2 linked regions of the Lonchura striata genome follow. The protein of the gene in region 2 interacts with the protein of the main gene of each other region in a pairwise test. Links are inferred from orthologs where the notes say so. Each region holds a gene or a part of one and is shown on either strand. Other genes may lie near its edges.

Region 1 (8,191 bases), on a different chromosome or scaffold from region 2:
GTTACTTCCCCTCAGATTGCTCTTGCTGCCCTCTTCACCACACCAGTCTCTCTCCTGGGCTGTGCAAGACACAGAGCAAGACATCCCAGCTGCAAATCCAAACAAATTTATGTTCAAATGGCAGGAGCTTCACAAAGTCCTTGCAAGTCTTGCTGTCTTCCTATAGGAGCACGTAGTAAAGTGAGAACTGTGGGTTTGCCAAAATATCCTGACAACCACAAAATAAAAGGTACCTCTGTGAATCAGTCTAGTTTGGATGCTCTCTTGGGCTCCCATATGGACACAGGGAAAATGAGACTCTAGGATCTGCAAATAACTTGCCATCACCTCTGGCTTCTGGATAACAAAGCCAAGAGAGGAGTGAAAAATCTATGTGCAAAAGCAATGTGTCTGTGTCCCAGCTTTGCCTAAACACCTGTGAGGAAGGCTGGAAGAGCCAAAATATCAGTAACCCTCCCACCTTCTTAACATGGAGGCTCTCAACATTCCTGCTAAGGAGAGACAAAAGGCTTAGTTGACATATTCTGGATCATACAGAAGGATTCATGTGGGATCCTTTGTGTGGAGAGCAGGCAGTTAAACAACAAAACAATTAAAGTGCTCCAAGACAGAGTAATGCAAATAGATAAAATAATATGGGAAAATGCTGAACCTTGAACTTGGCAGTTCACAGTTTTAGCACTCAAGGGAAAAGATAAAAGACATGCTTGTGTTGGGCTTTTTGAGCAAATGGAGTTGTCCTTTAAACAAACCCCAGGAGAAGGAAGGGGAAAAAAAAAAGCCACAAACCACCACAACATTTGAGTCCTCAAACCATTACACAATGCAGTGAAAAGCAGATCTAAGATAAAGAAAATAGAAAGTGGGAGAAAAACGTGCAACAGAAAAGAGCAGCTGGGTTCCTTGTTAGACTAATGTCTTCCTTGATCAAATGACAGCACAGTCCGGACACATTTGTGGAATTCAAACCCTCATCCCAAACAATTCTTAGGATAGTATCATGACTCTAGCAGGCAGCACAATCACTCTTACTTGCTATCTTATGTCCAGGACATGAGACATTCTTGTCCTCCTACCTCAAACTCCACCCTTGGGAACCTTCTCATCACCCTGCCACAAAAATCTGCCTTCAGAGAACACACTGTCTGAATCACTCACACAAAACTCTGCTGGATGTACTCCAAAGATGCTACAAACCACCAGAAAATGGTGCACAACAACTGGAAAGGCACCGGTGGTAATGAGGAGCACAGTGTCACAGCCTCAACCTACCAGCCAGTGCCACCAAAAAATAAGCCATACATTAGCATTCATCTGATCCTGCCGCAGCCCTAGATCAGGAAAGGAAACCAAGAGAGACCTAAAACTCTTCCAGAAGAGTAATTTATCTTGTAACCCATCTTGAGGTCACACCAGCACCAGGTGGGCTGACACACATAACCCATGCTAGGGGAAGAGGACAGCCACTTTCAGCAGCAGCACTGGAGCAGTTCAGACACTGAATCACAAAATGGTTTGGGTTGGAAGGGACCTCAGATCAACCCTGTGCCATGGGCAGGGACACCTTCCACCAGACCAGGTTCCTCAGAGCTCCATCCAACCTGACCTTGGACACTGCCAGGGATGGGGCAGCCACAGCTTCTCGGGGCAACCTGTGCCAGGGCCTCCCCACCCTCACAGGGAAGAAGAATTTCTCCCTAATATCCCATCTAACCCTGGTCTTTTTCAGTCTGAATCCATTCCCCCTTGTCCTGTCCTACGTGCTCCTGTAAACTCCAGGATATTCCTTGCCATCTTTCTCGTAGGTTTCCTACTGGAGAAGAACCTCAGGGCTGCTTATCCCCCTTTCCCCATTGGAGGATGGCCACAGCAAGGATGGAGAAGAGACTTTGTCAGATTTAGTAAACATAAAAAACCGAATTCACATTATCTTCGTTACCACTGAACCAATTTAAGTGTGCATAAGAATAAGGAGGCAGGAAGCATCAGCAATCAGCTGGTTTAGAAGGTTAAAGTCACATTGAGCACAATGCAGCATCTGGTGGGCAGCAATATAAAAATCCGTTTCCAAGTTAGAGGGGTCACTTATGCCCACACCCAGCACCACCTTGCAGTATTCTGGTTTTAATTTTTCACTCTCATCCCCGGAAGCGTTCCAGGCCAGCCTGGATGTGGCTCGGAGCAACCTGCTCCAGTGGAAGGTGTTTCACTGCAGGGAGCTTGGAACGAGATGCTCTTTGGGATCCCTTCCAACCCAAACCACGCTGTGATTCTATGATTTATACCTATCCATACCACACCCGAGCGGCCTATTTTCAGTGGTTAACACCAGTCGCAGCGGCTCTCAGCAGCAGTGGCGATGGACATCCAGCCGAGGGGCTGGAGCGGGGCGGCCCCGGTAGCGCACGCCCGTCCCTCACGGGCGGCCGGAGCGGAGCCCGGGCAGGGGGCACGGGCGGGGTGAAGCGGGGCTGCCAGCTCGCCCGGGCATGGGGGTACAGGCGGGGTGAAGCGGGGCTGCCAGCTCGCCCGGGGATGGGGGCACGGGCGGGGTGAAGCAGGGCTGCCAGCTCGCCCGGGGATGGGGGCACGGGCGGGGTGAAGCGGGGCTGCCAGCTCGCCCGGGGATGGGGGCACGGGCGGGGTGAAGCGGGGCTGCCAGCTCGCCCGGGCATGGGGGCACAGGCGGGGTGAAGCGGGGTTTCCAGCTCGCCCGGGCATGGGGGCACAGGCGGGGTGAAGCGGGGTTTCCAGCTCGCCCGGGCATGGGGGCACAGGCGGGGTGAAGCGGGGCTGCCAGCTCGCCCTTGAGCCGCCGCGGTGCCGGGGGCGCCTGCGCGGCGCTCGGGGGAGCCCGGGAGGGAAGGCGAGGGGAGGAGGATGGAGAAGGCAGAAGGGGGATGCCGCCTCCCGCCGCTCACCTCGCGGGCGATCTGGTTGAGCGCATCGTCCTCCGCCGTCAGGCGCTCCCGGTTCGGTAGCCGCTTGCGTCCGGCGCCCGGCGTCCCCATGGCGAGGCGGTCCCGGCCTGGCCCGGAGCGCAGCCGAACCCGGACCCGCTGCCCGCCGGCCCCGAGCGACCCTCCCGCTCCCTCCGCCGCCTCCGCGGCGCGGCCGTTACCGCCCCCCGCCCCGCGCATGCGCCGCCGCCCCCCGCCCTGAGGGGACGGGCCGCCTCACGCCAGCCCGAACCCGGGCTGGGGGTGCCCGCCCGCGGACCCCGCACCGAGCCCGGCTGTGCTCGGGCCCCCCGCCCGCTGCCCTGACACCGAGCCCGGGCTGTGTTCGGGGCTCTTTGCCCCCTGCCCTCGCACCGAGCCCGGCTGTGTTCGGGCCCCCCGCCCGCGGACCTCGCACCGAGCCCGGCTGTGTTCGGGCTCCCCGCCCGCTGCCCTGACACCGAGCCCGGCTGTGCTCGGGCCCCCCGCCCGCTGCCCTGACACCGAGCCCGGGCTGTGTTCGGGGCTCTTTGCCCCCTGCCCTCGCACCGAGCCCGGCTGTGTTCGGGCCCCCCGCCCGCGGACCTCGCACCGAGCCCGGCTGTGTTCGGGGCTCCCCGCCCGCTGCCCTCAGCGCCCGATATGGTGTGTGGGCCCGTGCTCGCTGCTATCACCACCCAAAATTGGGGTGTCTGTGGGATTCCTCCTCACTCCCATCACCACCCAAAATTGGGGTGTCTGTGGGATTCCTCCTCACTCCCATCACCACCCAAAATTGGAGTGTGTTTGGGGGTCTCTGCTCTGACCGCCTGAATTGGGGGGGGGGGGGGTTAAGGGACCCTGCTCGCTGTCCTCGCTATGCAAAATCAATGTGAATGTGTTTGTGGGATGGTCCCTGCTCACTCTCCTCACCACCCAAAATCGGGATGTGTGGGGTTCCCTTCCTACTCCCCCAGCCCCACTGTGGACCAACCCCCTTCCCACTGGGGCCCTTGGGCTGCCTGCCAAGCTGTGGGAAATGACAGAATCCCAGAATGGGTCAAGTTGGATGTGACCACAAAGGGTCATCTGGTCCAACCTCCCTGTTCCAGCCGGGTCATCCCAGAGCACAGGGCACAGGATTGTGTCTGGATGGCTCTGGAATATCCCCAGTGAGGGAGACTCCAAGGCCTCCCTGGACACTGTCCACTGCTTGGTCACTGCCCAGGGAAGAATTTCTGCCTCCTGCTCAGGTGGAACTCCTGGGCATCAGCATCTGCCTGTTCCTCGTGTCCCACTGCTGGGCCTCGTGGAGCAGAGCCTGGCCCATGCTCTGGAATATCCAGATATAGAAATATCCACCCTTTGGATATTTACACACATTACAGAGGTCCCCTCAGCTGTGACTCCTCTTGAGGAACCCCAGCTCCCTCAGCCTTTCCTCCTCAGAGATGCTCCAATCCCTTCATCACCTCCAGCCTCTGCTGGACCCCCTCCAGGAGCTCTGCCTCTCTTGTCCTGAGGAGCCCAGATCCGCATGCAGTAAATTTACCAGAAATCATGGAAATGGGCATCAAAACCTTGCCAGTTGTAAAGCTGGGGGGTTCCTCCCCCCCAAATAGAGGGGGAGCAGGACAGAAACAAAGACTCCTTGTGCCTGACACCTTACACAGCTTCATAGCCCTGTGGGGTCTCTCCAACAATGAATTTTCCTACTAAGTGTAAGTGGACGTGATTAATTTTAGTTTCAAGTACATCAGTGCTTAATTAATTCACATTGACAAGGTACATGTATTTTCTGGGATTCCTGTCACAGCCCTTGCACCTCAATTTTCACGCTAGTTCCCTAAATATGAATTAAAGAGGCTAAGCTCACATTATTACATAGACGGGGAAAGAGGCTACAAATCCCACCCACTCCCTTCTGACCAGAAAGCTGCATTTAATCTTTATGATTTAATTTTACCATTGATTTAAACTTGATTGAAATAATAAGCAACACTTGCCCACTCAGTATTTCTTGTCAGTTTTCATGTACAACACCTGAGATTTGAATCATCCTCAGACTGACTGGGTAATATACTGCATCGATGGTGCTCCTTGTACCTGGGACTATTTATCTTTGCAAGAATCAAATTATTATTTTGTCAGCAGAAGCAGATGGATGAGTCCCCCACCTTGCTTGGGCAGCAGAACGCATCACACCCTCAGATTTGGTGTCAGGTTTACTCTGACCCCACACAAGTGGATTAAAAAGGACTTGCTTTTTGCTTCGCAAGGCAGCACAAGGGCTTTCAACTGAGCTCTCACCCTGGAGGCAAAGCTCACTGGGTCTGGTTTTCCTAGATATCCCTCAGGCTTCCCTTCTTCACCTCCCCAAGCCCTGGCTTAGCACTACCACCCTTTCAGGCTCTACATAACTCATTCCCTGAGCCCTTATCCTTGCATTTGCCCCTGCCCTTTGAGGAATTCTGGCTAGAGAGGCGGGGCAGTGCCTTATTTTTAGGTCCCTGTTACCCAGAGATTTTGGCCACCTGTGCAGCTGCATCACGGTATCCATGCAAGGAATTTCCCCGTTCAGGGGTGCAGTAGGATTTGCATCAGTGCTGTCTGCCTGCCTGGCTGAAAGCCTTGCAGAGCCTTGGGCTAGGCAGGTTTTTTTGTCCAAAAACTGGCTATTGAGGTGACAAAGGGAAGGGGAGGAAAAATAGAGGGGAAATAGAAATCTCGGGGGGCAAAGGGGGAGGAGAGGGGAAGAGAAATACAAGGGAAGGATTAAAGAAATGTCTGGGAGAAAGAGAGAGGAAAGAAACAGAGAGGAAAAAAAGAAATCCAGTGGAAAGATGGGAAAGGGGGAGAAGAAAGAAATAGAGCAGGGTAGAAAGGAAGAAATAGACAAAGGAAGTACAGGGCAAGGGGAAAAGAAAGATGGAGGAGGGAAGGAAGAATTAAAAGATTAAAGCAGAGAAACTGGAAGAGAACACGCTGGTGGGTGACTGCAGTGAGATTTCAAATCACTCACTGAATGCACTCTGCAGTGTAAGAAATCCTTCTCTTTCCCTGCATTCCAGACACACACAGTAAGTTTTTTTTTTAAATATAGACAAAATAAGCCATCTTGTTATAAAAATACTATACATAGATAATTTGTCCAGATAAATTTGAAATAATGGTGCAAACCACGTTGGTTTTGGCTGCACTGTGAAGAGCAGTGAGTGCAAATGAAACACTGAAAATAAAACACTTATTTTAACAAGCAACACAAGGGCGAGGCTAGTTTTGTCTGGAAGTCATGACTGTGATGAATGATAGTCGGACAACACTGAGTATCCCATGCCAGTTTTAAAGGGCTCTATTATTAAGTGAATAATACATCCCTCATTCTCCAGTATCCTGTGTCCAAGGAGGCTGCTTTGTGCAGAGCACACCCTAAAAGATACAATTTTCCCTCTGTGCTGCTCTTAAACCAAACCCTCTTGTAAAACCCCACTGTTGAGAATCAGAACAAGCAATCAGCTGTTCAAACTGGTGGTGGTGTACTTGAGGAACCTCTTTTACATAATGAAATGGATGTTTTTGTGTCCTGGAAAGGAAAATGTGATTACATTTATATTAGAGGCAAGCCTTGGAATGGGGGAATCCAGTGGCTGAGTGTGTGAAAAGAAAGCACAAGGGCACCTCTCCACTCCACTGTAAGGTCATGACATCTGCCAAATCAGAAATTAAGCCTGGCAGCTTTAACAAGTTGTCCATTTGTCCAAGGAGAGTGGAATGCTTTAAAAACCTTGGAAAATCCAACTGAGGAGGCCAAAATTTGAGATTGTCAGGATACATGAGATGAGCAGGGCTCCATTAGCATTGCGATATTTTGCAAACATAACAGCAGTGGTATCCTGCAGGCTCTACAGAATTTATTAATGGAAAAAAATTACATCACAGACAAGTATGTGCTGGCACAGAAATTCTGCAGGAAAATGAAAAAAAAAAACACTTGTGCAACCAAGGTGATCCTCCCCAGCAAATCAGACCTCCTGGGAAAATCTTTCAGGTGTGTTGCCACATCTGAGCAGTGTCAAGACAGGGATGAGGGGACTGGTGGTGTCCATGTGTACTTTGCCTGGATGAAATTCCTTACTGTTATTCCATCTCTTCAAGTCAGCAGGGTCATTATTTGCATCAGCAGAGCTCTGGTCCTTTGGGAGCCTTGCTTAGCTTTGTCATGTCTAGCCTGGAGTTTGTAGTCACACAGCAAAGCCAGAACTGATTAGTGTCTTCCCAGCTGGTCCAAAAAAGAGATCCATGGGCTTGGGTTGGCCAGGGAGAATATTGTGGGCTTCCAAGCCAAGCTTTAGGAGGATGGGAGAAAAAAAAATCCCACAACAGCAGCAGCCCTTGATTGCTTTTACCAACAGCATGATGTGGGTTTTTTCTGAAAAAAGCTTATTGGTTGACTTCATCTTGCCAAAACCCCTTAATGAGTTATTGGCCTCTTTAATCACCTTAGCATGCCATGAGAGATAGTTTTCCATTTGTGAATTTTTCACAGGTCACTAAAGATGCCACTTTGGGGAGCTCGAGGTCTCAGCATTGGATCACTTTTAGGGTTGAGGAAGAATCTTCCCTTGGAGTGAATTTTTCAAAGGTTAACCTCGGGGTTAACCTTTGAAAAAGTGATTTCATTTAGTATTTTCTTGTGTACCCTGGCACAAGCAGGACAGCACTAATGAAATAAACCAATGACACAGAGTTGAAGTGTCACCAAAAAAGAAGGGTAAAGTCATACAACAGGTTAAGGACTTGAGAAACAAGTAGAGTGAAATCAAGCAGACAGCCAATACCATGCCAGAGGCTAAATTCATGATCTCACCAATTGTTAATATGGGAAAAGGAGGAAATGCTGGGATCACAAACTGCCTATGGGTTGGTTGCGTGCCACCATCACAACAGAAACACCAAAACACTGCATTTGAGAGCACTTCAATAAAGGGTCATTGCACAATCATTGCAAGACTTTACCTAAAATGGTGCCACAAGCCTGCTTTTTCATATTAAAAATAAATCAAACTTGAATAGCTGTGGAGAAAAAAGCTCCTAGGATAAGCAGCAGGAGGACTTTACTGAGATGAGGAGGAGTTGGCTTGTGTGTTCACAGTGCATCTCTCTTCTATGAAGTCCTTCGGAGATAAGTGGGATGGGGATGACGCTATGTAAAGCTTAAAGCCAAGTCAGCACAAAAGCAAACAGCTAAACAGAAAATGTATAATTCTAGTGGA
Region 2 (7,467 bases):
TGGAAGGGTTTCCAAGGAATAACCCCCATCCCCCATTTGCTATGGCTGTACCACCCAGCACCCAGCTCATCCACAGGGTTTATTTGGGATTGGCAAAATCCTGCGGGTGGGTGAGGCTCCCCCTGCCCCAAGTGCTGGCACAGCGAGGCCACGCAGGGTGCTGGTGACAGGACCAGCCCAGGACGTGGCACCTGAGGGCTCTGCAGGACACAGCAGCAGGAAGGGGCTGCTCCTCTCCAGCTACTCTCAGAGCCTGAGGGGCAACCTGACAGCTGGGATAGGCAGAAGACACTGGGAGCCAGAGACCAAACATGCTTCACTGGGCTCCCAGCAGACAGAACTCACACGTGTGGCGTGGGCTGCCCTCAGCCCGGGTTCAGCAGAGCCTCTGAGCCCAAGGCTCCTTCTGCCAGCACCCACCTCTGCTCAGGCACGCTTTATTCACACAGGAAACCGGTTTTTTCCTCATAAAGTGCAAGAACTTTGCCTCTTACTGACTAGTCAACTAGAAGCATCACAGCCCTCACAGCGGGGAGCAGCAGGCAGGGAGCAACCCCCCCACGTTCAGGAGCTCCCAACACACCGGTCACTTCAGCAGGACCTCTGGCTCAGATATGGCCCTGTAGAGCACAAAGCCCATCTCATCAATTTCCTCTTCCAACAGCCTGGAGAACAGGTTGATTTTGGGGTTGAAATAGCAAGGCAGGACTCCTTTCTCCAGGGAAGCCACCAGCTCCTCAAGCAGCTGCTGGAACCTGTCAGCAAGGCTCTCCTCTGCCCAGTCCACAGCAGTGTCACTGAGGTGCAGGATGACATGGGCCATGGGGCTGCCCCCCAGTTTGTGCAGGCTGGGCTGGCTCTTGCAGATGCTGTTGAGGATGCGCAGGCAGAGCTGCCGAGCCCCGGCGTCACCAGCGTCCAGCTCCTTCACCCTCGAGACCTCCGCCCTGTAAAAACTCTCCAGCCAGAGGTTTTCCACCAGTCCTTCAGGAGGAACAGCCAGAAGAACCTTGTCCTCCATTTCCACCACTGGGAAGAGGGTGATGCTCAGATCAACCTGATCATGTTTGACTTCCAGCTTCAGCTCCCGGGAGGCCACCACAGGGTGGATGGCACAGCCCAGCAGGCCACCGATGGCAGGCCAGTTGATGGAGGCCACCAGCAGCTTGTGGAGGGTCTCGTTGATCACGCTGGACGAGAGGTACCGGCCCACCATGAACCTGTCCCAGGGGCTGCACCCACGAGGGAAGTAGCCCAGATCGATCCTCTTGATCATCCAGTACTGGGGGCTCCTCACCACGGTGTCCTCTCCCGAGATGAGGCTCCAGAGCCCGGCGTCGAGGACCACCGGGAGCATGAGGTGGATGTGGTCAGCTGCCAGGACCTCGAGGCCATCGAGCAGGGCTCCGCTGAGGAAGAGGCGGCCAAAGGGCAGCTCCGGGCACTTGCTCCTCAGGAAGTTCTGCAGCTGGGTGCAGATGCTCCTGGCCAGCTGTGGGACGAGGGACACTTGGATCTCGGGCACGGCCAGCTGGCTGCTGTGTGAGAGGAGCTTCTCCTGCAGCGTGAGACAGCGCAGGGGGCTGGGCTTGACCTGAGGAGCCCCCAGAGAGGCAGAGAAGCCCCTGGGATCTGTGGGAAGGGAAAGGAGAAGTCACAGCTCTGAGCACATCATCTGAAAGCCTCAGCAGCAGAGGGGAAGGCATGAGTTGGGTGCCCAGCTCTCAGCCCACCCCTCTGGAGGTGACACCGACCTCAGCAAGGGCCCCCATTGAGCTCACTGATGTTAACAGCACTTCTCAGCCATGCAGAGCCCAAACCAACCCCAAATCTGGCTGTTCCCAGCCTCACTCCTCAGCCAGAGATGGGAACCAGGCAAGGGACTTGCTGCCAGGGTCAGAGAACCACAGAATACACTGAGTTGGAAAGGACCCACGAAAATCATCCAGTCCAACTCCTGGCCCTGCACAGACACCCCAACAATCCCACCCTGTGCCTGAGAGCAGTGTCCAAATGCTCCTGCAGCTCTGGCAGCCTTGGGGGCACAACCATTCCCTGGGGAGCCTGGGCAGTGCCCAGCACCCTCTGGGGGAAGAATCTTTTTCCTAATATCCAACCTAAACCCTCCCTGACACAGCTGCTGCTGTTCCCTCATGTCCTGTCAGTGGTCACCAGAGAGATCAGTGCCTGCCCCTCGCATGAGGATCCTACAGACAATCCTGCTCTGGGTCCATTATCTCAGGACATGCCCTGGACTGAACTGGGCCAGTTTCCCACTTGGAAAAGCTCCATCTCCATGGGCAGCTGGACAAGGCAGCCTTTGTTTGCAGCAGCTCCTGAGCACACCTTCCTGCAGGCACAGCTGACCCAGAAAACTAGCACAGCCAACGCTGCTCCAGAGGAAACAAACCCCAACACCCTCTGCCAGGCCACTCCGGATGTCACCAGAGGTCCTGTTTCCGCTGGCATTGCCTAAAAAGGGGCCGTGGCTTGGGAGCCTCCCAGCAGGGCAGGCTCAGTGGGCTCGGCTTTCCGACAGCGAGCTAAAAATAACGTGGAGCTCCCGGAGCACACCAAGGTGATCCTCCTGGGCACCAGGAACCTCACCTGGCACCAGAGGCCGAGCTGGAGAGAGCAGAGGCTCACTGAGATCTTCCCTTCTCTGCTTCTTGGGGGGTTTTGGTGTTGTCTTGATCAATGCCAAGTCCTGCCAGCTCTCCTCCAGGGATTTCTGCTCAGCTTTGGGGTCGCCCTCATCCCGAGGGCTGGTGGCTCGGTCGATCAGCTGGAGGGAAGGAAAAGCCAAGAGGACAAGATGTTATCTTTGTTTTCCATGAATTACAGGTGAGGCGACAGCCCCACTCAAGGCTTCTGCTCAGAAAAACACCCAGTTTTGGGGGCCATGAGTGTGCACATCATCTTCCTGCAGGTTTTACATGGAAAACAGATTCCCAAATACAATTTAGGTCCCAGGTGCCTTTTGGGATGGGATACTGTATGCAAAATGCTCCAGGCAAACAGAACATGCATACATGGTCCCACAGGATGGAAGCAGGCAGCTCCATGTCCACGGCACTGCTTCCAGCACCCGTGGCATTTGTGCCACGTGCAAGGAACCAGCTCAGGAGAGAACATAAAGAATTTGGGACACATCTTGCCCCACCACACTGGAACCAACCCAGCCCTCCTGAGCATCTCCTGGTGCTCTATTCCCAGACCCAGCCTTACCCTCTTGACAGCCAGCGTGGCGATGGCCAGCACGGCCGCGCCGCTGACGCCCAGCACCAGCCTGGCGTTGGCCAGCAGCACATCGAACACGCTGCCCAGCCCGTCGAGGACAGCGCCCAGCCCGCCGCTCTCCTGCCGCCGGCCCCGCTGCTGCCAAAACGCCGCCATGGTCGCCCTGCGGAGAACAGGAGAGTCACCCCGGGCTGGGGGACCTGTCACCCCGGGACAGGCACAGCCGCAGGGTGGGATGGTTTGGGGAACAAAGGGTTCCGCCGGCCCGCTCTCCTCCGGGATAAAGGCTCCCGCCGGCGGCGGCGGGACGGCTGGGTGCGGCGAGGGAGCAAGGGTCACCGGGGGAAGGGACACCCCGGGGAGGGACACCCGGGGAAGGGACACCCCCGGGAAAAAAGGGACGGACACCCCAGGGAAGGGACACCGCAAGGAGGGAGGGACACCGCAGGGAAGAAGGGACACCGAAGGGAAGGGACACCCAGGGAAGGAAGGGACACCCCCGGGGAAGGAAAGGACGGACACCGAAGGGAAGGGACACCGCGGGGAAGGGAGGGACACCCCGGGGAAGGAAACATCCCGGGGAAGGAAGGGACACCCGCTCCTCACCCAGCCCTACCGCAAAGCCTCGCGGGGCACCGGGGCGATACCGCGGCCCGCGGGAAGGGAGCCCCCCCCCGACCCTACTGACGGAGGGGAGGCGGCACCAGAACCAGAACCAGCACCGGGACCGGCACCGGCACCAGAACCAGAACCGGGACCGGACCGGGCCGGGCCGGGCCCGGCGCTGCCCGCGCGCGCCCCCGCGCCGCGCTCCGCGCGCGCTCCCGCCGCGGCCCCGGCCAATGGGAGCGCGCGGCGGCGCGGCCCCGCCCACAGCGCGCGGAAGTGGCGCCAGGCGCCGCGCGCGTCACGGCCGGGGCGGGCGCGGGCGGGGCCTGGCGGGGCGCGGCACCGCGCGCCGCCCCCCGCGCTTCCGCCATGGCGGCCACCGGCGTCCTGCCCTTCGTCCGCGGCGTCGATCTCAGCGGCAACGACTTCAAGGTGCGGGGCGGCGGGAGCGGGGCACAGCCCGGCCCGCAGCGCCCCAGCGGGCCCGGGCCCCGCGGGGTTGTCAGGCCTGGCTCGGCCCCCGGGGCAGGGGAAGCCCGGCCCCGGCCCCGCCCGGGGTGGGTGACCTGGGGCAGTCCCGGTCCCGGCGCTGTGGGCGCTGCGGGGGCGATCCCTGACCCACATCGAACCGCTGGGGTTGAGCAACCCGGCCCTCAGCCCAGGGGGTCCCAGGGAGATCGGAGATCCCCGAGCCTCCAGCTCCCGGTCCCATAGGACCGGGCGATCCCAGCTCCCGGTCCCGTAGAACTGAGCGATCCCAGCTCCCGATCCCGTAGAACTGAGCGATCCCAGCTCCCGATCCCGTAGAACTGAGCGATCCCAGCTCCCGATCCCGTAGGACCGGGCGATCCCAGCTCCCGGTCCCGTAGAACTGGGCGATCTCAGCTCCCGGTCCCGTAGAACTGGGCGATCCCAGCTCCCGGTCCCGTAGAACTGGGCGATCTCAGCTCCCGATCCCATCGGACTGGGCGATCCGTCCCAGTCCCATAGGACTGGGCGATCCCAGCTCCCGATCCTGTAGGACTGGGTGATCCGTCCCAATCCCATAGGACTGGGCGATCCCAGCTCCCGCTCCCGTAGGACTGGGCGATCCCAGCTCCCGGTTCCGTAGAACTGGGCGATCCCAGCTCCCGCTCCCATAGGACCGGGCGATCCCAGCTCCCAGTCCCGTAGGACTGGGTTTCCATGGCCCCCAGCTCCCAGGCCCCTAGGACGGGGTGATCCCAGCCCTCTAATTCCCAATTTTATGGGACTGCTTCATCCCAACCCCACAGCTCCCAGTCCCTTAGGACTGGGTCATCGTGACCCCACACTTTCCAGCCCATAGGACTGCACGATCCCAGACCTCCCATGACCACAGAGCCTCAATCAGACTGAGGTCCCCAGATCCTCATCCCGTGGGACAGGTGTTTCCTCACCCTCTTCCTCCTCCTCCTCCTCGCAGGGCGGGTACTTCCCGGAGCATGTGAAGGCGATGACCAGCCTGCGCTGGCTGAAGCTGAACCGCACGGGGCTCTGTTACCTGCCCGAGGAGCTCGCTGCCCTCCAGAAGCTGGTGAGCCCCGTGTTCTGGGATGGAATGGGGCTCCCCTATCCCGCTGGGACCGTAGGATCCCACGGGAGCCTGTTCCCTGCCAGCCTCGTGGCTCAGCAGCGGGTGCTCCAGTGTCTAATAATAGCACTGAGCTGCAATGTGTGGTTGAAATGGGATGCAGGAGCTGTCAGGAGTGGGTTTGGAGTGGGCTTGCTCTCAGTTTCACCTTGTTTTCCTAGAAAACCAGATTAAAAACCACGCTTAGATCCTCTACCCTGTAGTAGAAGGGAAGGGTGATGGTTACAGTGGGGACAATCAAGGGTTTGGGGGCTTTTTTTCCTTCTTCTTTGCTAAAGTATGTAAAAAGCAGGAGCTGGCAGCTGTCTGGCTTTGTTTTTCGGGTGGTTCACCCAGGCCCTTGCTGGAGTCAAGGCTCAGCTTGGCTTTGGTGGTGTCCACAGCACATCAGGGACCTCATCCTGTCCGTGTCACACAAACTGAGTGCTTTAATCGCTGCCAGGGAATCCCTCAGTGCCACTCCTGCCAGCCCTGCCAGGTGCTCGGGGGCCACAGCAAGACTGAAATCCTGGCATCCCACCCACAGCCTGCCAATGCCGTGTGTTCCTGAGCAGGCAACAGCCGGGCTGGTGATGCTCAGAGGAAAACATTTCCCCAGGGGAATTCCTCCCACCCCAGCAGTGCCCACGTCTGCCCGTTCCCAAGGACTGGGATCTGTTTGTGTGGGCATCCCAGAGCACCCCAAACCCCACGGCAGGGCTGAGGTGTGCAGGGGATGAGGGATGTGGAGGCAGCGCAGGCACACTGGGCCAACCAACCAGTTTGAGACTGGGAGTGTCCCAGCAGCTCTGTGGGTGACAAGTCCCCAACTCTCCTGGGATGGAGGAGCCTCCACATCAATGTTGGGGCACAGCCTTTGCCCTGCACAGCCCCAGCTCCTCTCTCTGCTCACTGGGGCTTGTCTGGGACTTCCCTGCAGGAACACCTCTCCGTGAGCCACAACAGCCTCACCACGCTCCATGGAGAGCTCTCCGGCCTGCCCTGCCTCCGGGTGAGTGTCCCCCTCCTGCCTCAGGGGTCCCCAGGCACCTCTGGGATCTGAGGGCACACCAAGATCATACCTGGGCACCCTGGGGGCTCCGCAGGCAGCTGCATTCCTGCCTCTCTCCCCTCTGCAGGCAATTGTGGCTCGTGCAAACAGCCTGAAGAACTCGGGAGTCCCTGATGACATTTTCCAGCTGGATGACCTCTCGGTGCTGGTGGGTGCAGATTCTTCTCAGCTTATACAGGAGCCAGCTCAGACTCCTGGGTCCCTTTGCTGCACCGTGGTGGCTCCTTGTGTTCCTTGGGAGCAGCAGTCGCAAGCCCATGGCTGAGCTCCAGGGAAGCTGGCTGTCGGCAGGGTGACCCTCTGGCAATGTCTCCTTTAAAGGCTGATGCCATGGAAGGGCTCCCTGGGTTCCCTGTGTGCTGGTCCAGCTCCCTGGAGGTGTGGGTGGTGGTGGCTGGGTGACAACTGCTTTGTGCTCCCCCTTTCCCAGGACCTGAGCTACAACCAGCTCACAGAGTGTCCCAGGGAGCTGGAGAATGCCAAGAACATGCTGGTCCTTAACCTTGGCCACAACAGGTGGGTTCAGGCTAGAATAACCATCTCCCCATCCTGGCCATGGCCACATTTTGCTCTGGGTCCTGTTCTCTGCCCCTCCTCGAGGGAGATCCGGGGCTGGTGCAGATCCTAGGCACTCCTGAATTTCCCCACATCCCTGCAGCATCGACACCATCCCCAACCAGCTCTTCATCAACCTGACGGACCTGCTCTACCTGGACCTGAGCGACAACAAGCTGGAGAGTCTCCCACCACAGATGAGGCGCCTGGTGCACCTGCAGACCCTCATCCTCAACAACAACCCCCTCCTGCATGCGCAGCTGCGGTACGGCCCCGCTCCCCGGGCTGCCTCCCAGCCTGGCAGGGCTGGCACTGAGCTCCCTGCTCCATCCTGACACTCCCTCTGCCCTGTGGCTCTCCCTGGTCCTCAGGCAGCTCCCGGCCATGACGGCCCTGCAGA

What was found. The genes of interacting proteins can lie anywhere in the genome.
Region 1: the proteins of FLII (region 2) and LRRFIP1 interact in binary tests that used the Homo sapiens proteins (3 or more experiments, as listed by UniProt). The link is inferred for Lonchura striata from reciprocal best matches to the Homo sapiens genes FLII and LRRFIP1.

What each region holds. Positions count from the first base shown.
Region 1 is NC_134610.1:38,486,159-38,494,349, reverse strand, and holds the start of LRRFIP1 (leucine-rich repeat flightless-interacting protein 1), read right to left. Parts: upstream 3,106-8,191; 5' UTR 3,012-3,105; coding exon 2,922-3,011; intron 1-2,921.
Region 2 is NC_134618.1:15,741,574-15,749,040, reverse strand, and holds the start of FLII (protein flightless-1 homolog), read left to right. Parts: upstream 1-4,174; 5' UTR 4,175-4,218; coding exon 4,219-4,281; intron 4,282-5,293; coding exon 5,294-5,404; intron 5,405-6,380; coding exon 6,381-6,452; intron 6,453-6,579; coding exon 6,580-6,660; intron 6,661-6,942; coding exon 6,943-7,028; intron 7,029-7,170; coding exon 7,171-7,332; intron 7,333-7,438; coding exon 7,439-7,467. Other genes in the region: MIEF2 (mitochondrial dynamics protein MID49), read right to left, coding at 587-1,632, 2,608-2,785, 3,229-3,396. UniProt on the Homo sapiens protein: Is a regulator of actin polymerization, required for proper myofibril organization and regulation of the length of sarcomeric thin filaments. It also plays a role in the assembly of cardiomyocyte cell adhesion complexes.